Drosophila melanogaster: one gene and its partner. The protein of the gene in region 1 interacts with the protein of each later gene in a pairwise test. Each region holds a gene or a part of one and is shown on either strand. Other genes may lie near its edges.

Region 1 (5,764 bases):
GGTAAGGTTAGGTACATGAACTATCAGGGATGCCGTCGCAAATTCGATGTAAATGCCTTTGTCATGCGATACGGCGGTAAGGTGCACAAGAAGAAATAAAACGTTTTCGGATTTGCCTTTGTTTTGAATGCAAGCCAAGAGCATTTTTTATTTAACCATAGATCCAAGAGGCTTTATAAAATATGACAAAATTACAGCTAGCGGGACAGAACTTAGTCCTTCTCGGCGATCTTGGTGAGGTGTTCCTCGATCTCCCGCTCATCCAAAATACGGAAAGTGGGATCAGACTTGCTGACCACGCCGATCTCAATGCCGTTCGGCTTGAAGTCTATAGCGAGCACACTGGACAGACAGGAGATGGCCAGCTGGATCGCTTTCTCCTCCGACAAGTTGGGCTTGTACTTCTTTTCCAGATAGCTGTTGGCCTCCAGAGTCTTGGCACCCACGCTGCAGGCCTTGAACCCGCTGAAGTAGCCAGCCGGGTCCGTCTTGTAAACGCTGGGGCCGATTTCATTGTCGTAAGCGATCAGCACCATGCTGCAGCCGAGCGGACGCATCTCGGCATTCTGCGTGTACACCTGGTTGATATCCGCAATTCGACGACACAGCACATCCACGGGCATTTCGTAGCCGTACTTGTAGCGGAAGTTGGCGGCCTCGTATCTGGCCTTCTGCACCTGTGAGCGGGAATCAGCTAGGGGAGAGAAATAATTTTAAGTATTTAGTGACACTCTTGGGTTGATATGTCCTCTTTTCTAGTTGAAGCACCGTGTGAAAACTACGTTTAAAATGGCTCCACGCTATACGCCTTTGCCCTAATGTCTGGCAGGCTATTTCTTCTGATTTTAGCACAATCATAAGTGAATCGCTACTTGGTTACATGGGACATATCAACAATGGGATAACTCTGTGCTAACTCGACTGGAATTTGACTCGAATCACGCCGGGATAAACAAGAATTTAAAGTATCTATGGTTCATACCTATGCGTCCGGTCATTGCGCATCCAATGTCCTTGGTGATGCGGAACAGGTGGGTCACCGTTTCAGGCACGATGTTCTTCTCGGTCACTTTTTTTTGGGTGGCCACCACGGCACAGTCGCCACTCTTCAGCGCCACCGTGGTGATGTTCTCCTGGGCAATAGCCTTGAAGGCGTACTCTGGCGGGGAAATGAGAATGTCAGACTGGATACAATGGAGCCGCAAGTGCCAGGATACTAACCCACTTGGTAGAGGCGTCCCTCCGGAGAGAAGATCGTGATGTGTCTGTCAAAGCCGGCTGAACTTCCGCGAGACATGATGCTTTCTTCGTGCTTCGATAGCTGCAATAGACAACGCCGGTTAAAATTCAGTTCTCAAGTCTGCCGCAAGCAACACACCTTTTGAACAATTAAAATTTACAAATTTGTATATAGCAGGGAAAATGTCGCTTCAAATCGAACCTACTGTGCAAAATTCAGATTGTCATTCTCAGCCCGAAAATGAACCTAAAAAATACCAAAAAGAAACGCGCGCTGGGATATATCGTTTATCATTGAAATCGAATATTTGGAAAAAGCCAAAATAGTGTTAAGCTACGCTTACAAAATGTTTAAATTATTCCTATTTTTATTTGTGAATTATTGTAAATTAGTCAACATAGAGCAAAGGGATTTGTAAAAAAAAATATTAACAAACATATGTAAATTGAAGACAAAACTTTTACTGCTCAGTAACGTTATCTTATATAATTTTTGTTGAGGCTTACAACGTTATTTCTTAAGAAAATGTTTGTAAAAAAAGCTATTGAGCGCAAGCTAAATCTAACTGGAATTAAGGCAGTTGGCCGTAACTAAGCACAGGTGAACCTATCGACAATCGATAACGTCGCGGTGCCGTGCGTAAGTGATGGCCAACTCTAGCTGGATGTAACCATTGAGAATCGAGGTAAATATTGGTCAATAACAGCGGAGAACGCTGCAATTGCGGATTATTTGGGAGTCAAGTGCGCGTTGCCGGCAGCGAAAATGCACGAGGATGATCTGAAGAGTCAGTTGACCATCGCGCGGAACGAGATCAACAATCTCAGGTGCGTTTGAGACAGGCAAATTGCCATGAGTGTCCTTTTGCTACTGGTATAGTTCAAGTTCACACCGATTTTGCCTTGACCATGATGCAGGCAGCAAGTGCGCAACCTGCAGCATGTGCAGCGCAAGGACATTGAGACGATAACCCGCCTGCTGCAGGACTTCCGCTGCGAGGGGTGTGCGAACAACAACAAAAGCGCCAAGGACAAGGTCGCCGGCGAGAAGCAGGAGCACCAGCACCAACAGCAGACGCAGGACCAGCAGACGGGCCAAGGTCAGGTGCGTTTGACCCTCCCACACACTGAAAGACACATACAAACCTCGCACCCAATCCTTAGAGCAATTATACCAATGGTGGGCACTGCTTGGGAGAGGACTACGCACACTTTCGGCCCATAGGAGTGATCCGGACAGCATTCCCAGAGAAGCGGGCCGTGCCGAGGCAGTCAATTGTGGGCAGTCGCCTGCGGGGTATCATCCAACTGAACGACGGTGTGTTCACCAATCCGGAGCACTCCTTGGAGGGACTAGAGGACTTTTCCCATCTGTGGCTCATCTATCATTTTCACCGCAACAATTCCCACCCCAAGGCCAAGGTGGCGCCTCCCCGTCTTGGTGGGGAGCGGGTGGGTGTGTTTTCCACACGATCTCCACACCGCCCGTGTCCCATTGGTCTCTCGTTGGTGGAGATTGAGAAGATCGAGAACGCCACCATTAGTTTCTTTGGTACGGACATGGTAGACGGCACACCCGTGTTGGACATTAAGCCCTACATTCCACACTACGATGCACCATCCTTGAGCGTTGACTCAGGTACGTTGGACGAGAATCAAGCAGAAATGCAACTAAAGTTCTTGCCCCGGACAGGAAGAACCTCTGTTGGACCGCATGAGAGCAGCCTGGACTTCTACGACTCCAGACAGGAGCCTGACGGAGAGGAATCGGACCTGGAACTGTATGGAGCAGCTGGCTACAGCGGGAACGCGGGCATTGGAGCTGACGCTATTCTGCCGCCACCCAGCGCCGTGCGAGTGCCCAACTGGGTGGTGGCCAGCAATAGACTTAGCGTGACCTTTAACGAGCATGCCGAGGCGCAGTTAAAGGAGCTGCAGGTGGAGAAGCAGTGCATCGTGGACATTCTGGAGGCGGATCCGCGCTCCGTTTACTTGCGCACAAAATATGGCTCGCAAATATTTACCTTCCAGCTGCGGGAGGTCACGGTGACGTGCAAATTTGATGACAAGGCCGGCACGGTGACTGTGGTTCAGGTCCGGCGCAACGAGAATGTCCAGGTTACCGCCCTGGACGGCGACCTGCGCAGCGCCTAACTTATGGATTATTGCAATTGATATTCGTTAATTGACGATTTGTGTTAAGCTTAAGTGTATTGTGTTGAGGAGCTTTAACCTTTGGCGTTTCAATTTTGCTCTAGAATACAGGACATTCTTAAATATATGTATGAGGCTTGTTTCCCACGCAAAAGAAATTGTTTTCTTTCAAGTATCGTTACGCGTGGGTATTTGAAGTGTTTAAAGATTTTAACACGCATATTTTTGTGCTTTATTTTCAGCATTATGGGCGACTTGAGCTGGAAAGATTTTTTGAGCCAGGCCAAGCAGTTCCTCGAAATTTCGCAGAAGTTGGGTGATAATTGGATATTGGAACAAAAGGTATCTCGCAGTGCGGATTTTATAATTCGGGCTAATTATTTAATACGTTTTCCATCCCAATTAAGGACTCGAATGAACCAAACACCTATCTCAAATGTAGTCAGAAGATTAAATGCCGAGGTGGCAAGGACAACTCGGCTGAGTTGGTTAGTGTGGAGTACCATGTGGTCTTCAGTGTTTCCTATCAAGTACCAATGTTGTTCTTCCAGGCACACAGATCAGGTATTTACATATTTTACAAAATCTCACTAGATGTGAAAATAAATCCACTTATCGTAGATGGAAGTCTTTTGGATGTGGAGGCCACTTGGCGAATGTTCATGCCCGAATCGAAGGCCAGCGATCTCCACCAGATACTCACCCAGATGGATCACCCGGTGCTTTTCAGACCCTTTATGGCATTGCATCCATGCCGCACCGCCGAAGTGCTAAAGCAGTTCGGAAAGCCCAGCTGCAACCAGGTGCTTACCTTCATCAGTCTGTACGGACCCCACGTGCAGTTGCACCTGCAAAATGCGTACGGCTTAAGCCAAGAGTATACGTAATTTGAATTTATTGGTGGTTTTTTTAAACACTGGTTATAGGAGTATACATGTATGGATAATATGGCTTATGCCCTTTTACAGTTTTACATTTCGTTCCCTATTTTAGAGTGGTTACACCTTAACTGGGGACCCCATCGCCACCAGTTCTTGGCACAAGTGAAGATCCATGGGGCACAGGGTCGTACCATGTGACATGACACCTGAAGCAGCACATCACATGGATAATTTAAGTTAAAAATGAAAAACTAATGAAGTTACGAAAGGAACCCAGCTTTGTACACAGGTTATAACTCCGCTTAGTGAATACATTCAACTACTTAGGCATTATTTATCGCTTAACGTAGTGTATAGTTTTCAAGTTCCACTTGCTATTTTCGTTATTTTTTCTCGGCTAATATCAACTAGTAGCTACTTTTCGATTACTTCGATTTAACATTAGACAGGTATACGCTTACATCTAGTTGTACTGTACACAAGCGTGGCCTTGCTGAGCCGCTTTGCTTTGCATTTTACTAATATTAAGTGGTTCATTTATAATTAATGTTAACTGGCTACTGTGTGGCATTAGCGGCGTCCCGGCGCTGGCACCAAAACCCCGTGTTCCATGCGGAACCGAGGACTCGTGGGCGCGGGGAATCGCATTGAAAATGTTTATTTGCAAAATTAAATCGACTTTTATGTATATTACGTTGGTTTGCAATAGTAGTTCGACAGTATACAAGAGTCCACGTACATTAAGGATTAATCGTGTGCAGTGCGGATATCCTGCTGAGGAAGTCTAAGGTCGGTTAGGATGGCACGTACGAGGAGAACTCAATTTGGACTCGGAAAATGGCTAGGATATCTCGACGCGCTCCATAACATTAGGTGTGAAGTGTTTGTAAAAACTATGGTTAGTCTTCGAAGTAAGCTTTAATATTCCGAACTACTTAGGGGGAGTAACGATTCGAAGGACACATATTATATTGCGAGTATATCCAATTAACATTCCATCTGAGCAGTGCCTCTCATATTACCTAATAATTCAAAAATAGTGCTCTTTGGTTTCGTGCCATTCAATAACTATCAGCTAGTAGTTATTTGATTCTAGGGATACTACGTTTAACAAACAAGATTATTGGTGATTTCACTTTACCAGATTTGCACTACTTCGTGCTTTGCGTCTAAAAATGTACACGTGGTCTGGGAAATGCTTGGAATGTGGTTTTTCGATTTGAAATTTTTCCTGGGCGGTTAAATTTACTGATGGGGGTGAGAAAAGGCTTGGGACAGGGTATTCTTCTATGAGTATTGTATTTGTGAGGACCTTATTGGCACTTAACAAACATATACGACTATACGAAATATATATGCTATGTATGTATTGTTCAACATCCGGTTTGTGTCATCTCAATATATGTGTTCATATATAAAATTTCGTTTAAAGCTGCACCATTTAGTTGACACTTGCATCATGCCAAGTTACATTTGTTTCGCTATATACA
Region 2 (4,144 bases), on another chromosome or scaffold:
ACGCAGCTCAATCTGTAATGAAGATATGGCCAGGGGAGACACCGATCTCAATCGAAACGAAATGAGGATTGAAAAGTTTGTAATGGAGGTTCTAAAAGAGAAGTAAATAAATATGCATTTTTGTTCACAGATTGAAATTGAATGAAGATGGCCTTACTCGGCATTGCCATCACCGGCCAAGTTGAGGATATAGGCCAAGGATCCTTTGGCGGTGTATAAGGATTTGAAGTACGTGAGTGGCAAGGTAACGTTAATGGTGTTCTTCAAACCGGGCACCGGGGATAAGCTGAGCGCAGGCACATCAAAATCGGACAATCCGTGCAACTGAAAGTTGTCAATGGACCCAGTGAAGCTAGAAAACAAATGAATTTGTAACGCCTCTAAGCGCACATATTACAGCATTTGCTTACTCCACGAGGTATTTGTTGTTCAGTTCTGTTTCAGCAGGCCCCAACTGCAGTGGGTCCAATGCGGGCAGGCCTAGATTCGGGATTGGGTGGCACATGCGCATACGGAACTCCTGAAGGAACGCCAAGATTTTCGCCTCGTAAACGCAGGCAGCGGGCGACAGGCATGCGTAGAGAATGGCTGTGGCCAGCAGGACCTGTGAAGTGAGTTTTGCCCGCTGCATTCTGCTGATTGATTCGCTTCCGTTCGGTTTGGAGTAGCTACTGGTATGCCAGCGTTCGCCCGCCCTGATTTTGTTTGCTTACTTTTCAAGTGGATCCCATCGTGTGTGTCAAGATACGACTTTTATTTCAATATTCTGCCAAAAACTTATCTTTGCTAATCGCGGACGGGGCCCGAGTACGGCCGATTACCGTGCGGATTGCTGGTGCAATCTAAGCTCATACTGAACTTTTAATAACTAAGGTCTACTGTAGTATTGGCTTCGGCTAAACTTGCTCCGGCGGCTGGCGCAAGTGCTCTGGGATCTCCTGCAGCTCAGTCCTGGAAGCCTGCAGCGCTACGCCCTCGGGCAGATTACGTTCAATATACTCTAGAAATGTATCTAGCGTGGAGCCCGTCAACTTGTGGAAGTTCATATAGCGGAAGTGGGTTCGCACCTCGTACTGTACGCGATGTTTCTTGTAGATATGCACCGACTTCAGGAGCGTCATCCGCTCGTGGTGCGCCTTGCGAGGTGACCAACTGCATGAGGATTAACGAACACATATGTATGTTAGAGATTTCCTTTACCGGAGGATTTTTACCTCTTACCATTTTCCCTTTTCAATGCCCAAATGCTCGGCAGCAGTAGTAGCAAACCAGGTGTAGCTCTTCAGAACTGCCGGATCAATACCCCGCAGCTCAATCTCCAGCTTGCTGTAGAGTTTATCCGGTTCCGGAGCAGGTGCCGCAGGTGAAAGATTGCCTTGTACGCCGGAACTGGTGTTTACCGTGGACAGAGCCCGCATTGGCTGTGTCCAGCGGAGCGTCTTTATAGCCTGGGAATATAAATCTAGATGTTTCATATGCATTTTCATTGATATATGGGATCTAAATACCTGTAACATATTAAAAACTGTATTTACACCTAGAATTATGCAAGTGCGGCAGCCGCAATACTGCTTATAACGCCTTTTCGAAAATACTGAAAAATACTACATACGTAGTGTAAATGTTTCTGTGAGTCTATAGTTACTTACCTACCCTGTAATAAAAATGAAATGTAAATTTTTTTCTTTAAGCCTACTTCTTCCAAGCAGAAAATTAATTTGTTAAAATATCAGCGTAAACATAATTTCACTTTTACAATGTCGTCGAAAGTTATTCTATAACATATATCCCCTGCGATACCCTCTAAAGCAACATTTCAAGTATACCAAAACGCGTTAAGCTATTTTCGTTTCCAAATTTCCGCACGTGTTCGCGCCGCTCAAAACCCCATTTAGTTGGCATTTATAAATTTGTGATCTTCGTCGTGCGATTTGAATTCTTTTCTCTGAAAGCAGGCCAATAGGACTTGCAAACAAAGATAGCATGAAAGACACCGAGGTCAACGGTTCGAGCCCGTAAAAGCTTTTATTTCCTGGAGATGATTACTTATTAATCCCATCCCAATGTAGACAACACCACAGAGGAGGAGCCCGTGAAGGAGGCACCTGAGGTGCCGGCCAATTCCAGCTCCGACGAAGATGAGTACGATGACATAGATGACGATGATGAGCCAATGGACGAAGGCGATGAGCTAACCACTTGTCTGTTTTGCACCGAAACATCTGCAAACATCTCGGTGGCCATTGACCATCTTGACGCCCGGCATAAAGTGAATCTGTCCCAGCTTCAGCGTAAATTCGAAATGGACCAGTATTCCTTTATCAAACTGATAAACTACATAAGAGCCAAAAAGATCAGTGCCGAGCAGTTATTGTCTGCGGAACATCCGCTTTGGCAGGATGAGAAGTACCTCCAGCCCGGGGAGTATGAGCCCTGGCTCTGCTATGACTACGAAGTCCTTAAAACAGACGGCGCTCCGACGCAGCCCTCGGTTCTGGAGCTACAACAGCGGATTGCTGAGCAGTCGCAATTGCTGCAGCAGGCCAACGAGGACATGGAACGCATGCGCAACGACTACAAGGCGCTGCTGCAAAAGGTACATGCTGACGGCGAGCCCAAAGGTTCCGACCAGAGCGTACCGCGTAACAACGTTTGTCTCGACAACGAATACTTCAAAAGCTACGCCCACTTTGGCATTCACCATGAAATGCTCAGCGACAAGGTGCGGACCAGCACCTATCGCGCGTCTTTGCTCCAAAACGAGGCCGTTGTTCGGGGCAAGACAGTGTTGGATGTGGGATGCGGCACGGGAATCCTATCCATCTTCGCCTCCAAAGCGGGTGCAGCTCGCGTTGTCGGCATAGATAACTCGGACATTGTGTACACCGCCATGGATATCATCAGGAAGAACAAGGTTGAGAATGTTGAACTGATCAAGGGACGGCTGGAGGACACAGATCTCCCAGAGACTAAATACGACATTATAATATCCGAATGGATGGGCTATTTTCTTTTGTACGAATCAATGCTGGACAGCATTATCTACGCCCGCGAGAATCACCTCAACCCCAATGGCATAATACTGCCCAGTCGCTGTACACTCAGTCTCTTGGGCTATGGAGACGACACGCTTTATGCCGATGAAGTGGAATTCTGGTCTAACGTTTACGAGGTCGACATGAGCGATCTGCGAAAGCAATCAATAGAGGAGCCACTCATGCAGGTGGTGGATGCAGAGTTCATGCTGACGGAACCCGAACAGATAGCTAACTTCGACATAATGACCGTCGATATGAACTATCCAAACTTTACTCACCAGTTTAGCTTAAAGGTCACGAAGCCGGGACGATTATCCGCCTTTGTCGGTTACTTTGAAACATTGTTTGAACTACCCTCCCCCGTCATGTTCAGCACATCACCATCTGCGACGCCCACCCATTGGAAGCAAACGGTTTTCTTCATCGAGAACCCGCAGGTTGTGAAGGAAGGAGACGTCATTTGTGGGAAAATCACGTCAAGAAGACATAAAGAGGATGTCAGAGGACTTAGTGTGGACATAGAAGTCTTTGGCAAGAAACACAAATACAATGTGGTTTAATGTGCTTCTTTTTGAATAGAATTAAATAAAATACGCTTGAAGATCTAAGTTGGTATTTAATTTCAAAAAAATTAACCTCATTTCTTGACTTTTTAATCATTTTTAATTAAAAATTCATAGATTGTACAATCTGCTGACAAATGAGAGCTTAATTAAATTTTGTTTTTAAAAATATGTAAATATATATAAATTAAAATGAGTACCCATTGCCATTTAGGCTGGATAGCTGGACACGGGGCACGGCCAAAACATTATCGGATTCAGTTGTAGTTTGGTGTGTATTATAGGAGGCGGAACAGATGCTTTAAGCGGTATTGGTTTCTAACTCGGAGGCGGGAATCTCTGGCTCCTCGTCGTTGTAAACATTCTCGGCCATCTGCCAGACCTGCATAATATTGTCCTCGGACACGGAGCAAATGATCCATGGCTCATTGGGGTTCCACGAGAAATCGCTAATCTTGGCAGTGTGACCGCCATGGATGAAGAGCAGCTCGGGTGGTCCGTCCTCAGCATCCTCCGTACTCTGCTCCTCGCCGATTTTGGACA

What was found. Proteins that work in one complex are often made in the same cells at the same time.
Region 2: the proteins of Atg10 (region 1) and Art3 interact in a two-hybrid assay, tested with the Drosophila melanogaster proteins (one large-scale study listed by BioGRID).

What each region holds. Positions count from the first base shown.
Region 1 is NT_033778.4:7,830,299-7,836,062, forward strand, and holds Atg10 (Autophagy-related 10), read left to right. Parts: upstream 1-1,872; 5' UTR 1,873-1,925; exon of another isoform or gene 1,926-2,005; coding exon of another isoform or gene 2,006-2,067; intron 2,068-2,157; coding exon of another isoform or gene 2,158-2,344; intron 2,345-2,403; coding exon of another isoform or gene 2,404-3,393; exon of another isoform or gene 3,394-3,543; intron 3,544-3,635; 5' UTR 3,636-3,639; coding exon 3,640-3,735; intron 3,736-3,800; coding exon 3,801-3,957; intron 3,958-4,014; coding exon 4,015-4,280; 3' UTR 4,281-5,220; downstream 5,221-5,764. Other genes in the region: CG18853 (uncharacterized protein), read left to right, coding at 1-99; Prosalpha1R (proteasome alpha1 subunit-related), read right to left, coding at 213-694, 983-1,159, 1,222-1,297; CG12822 (uncharacterized protein), read left to right, coding at 2,006-2,067, 2,158-2,344, 2,404-3,393.
Region 2 is NT_033777.3:15,227,105-15,231,248, reverse strand, and holds Art3 (arginine methyltransferase 3), read left to right. Parts: upstream 1-1,840; 5' UTR 1,841-1,983; coding exon 1,984-2,005; exon of another isoform or gene 2,006-2,069; coding exon 2,070-3,598; 3' UTR 3,599-3,644; downstream 3,645-4,144. Other genes in the region: CG34316 (uncharacterized protein), read right to left, coding at 1-91, 158-352, 411-631; mRpS10 (mitochondrial ribosomal protein S10), read right to left, coding at 897-1,152, 1,222-1,487; Caf1-55 (chromatin assembly factor 1, p55 subunit), read right to left, coding at 3,903-4,144.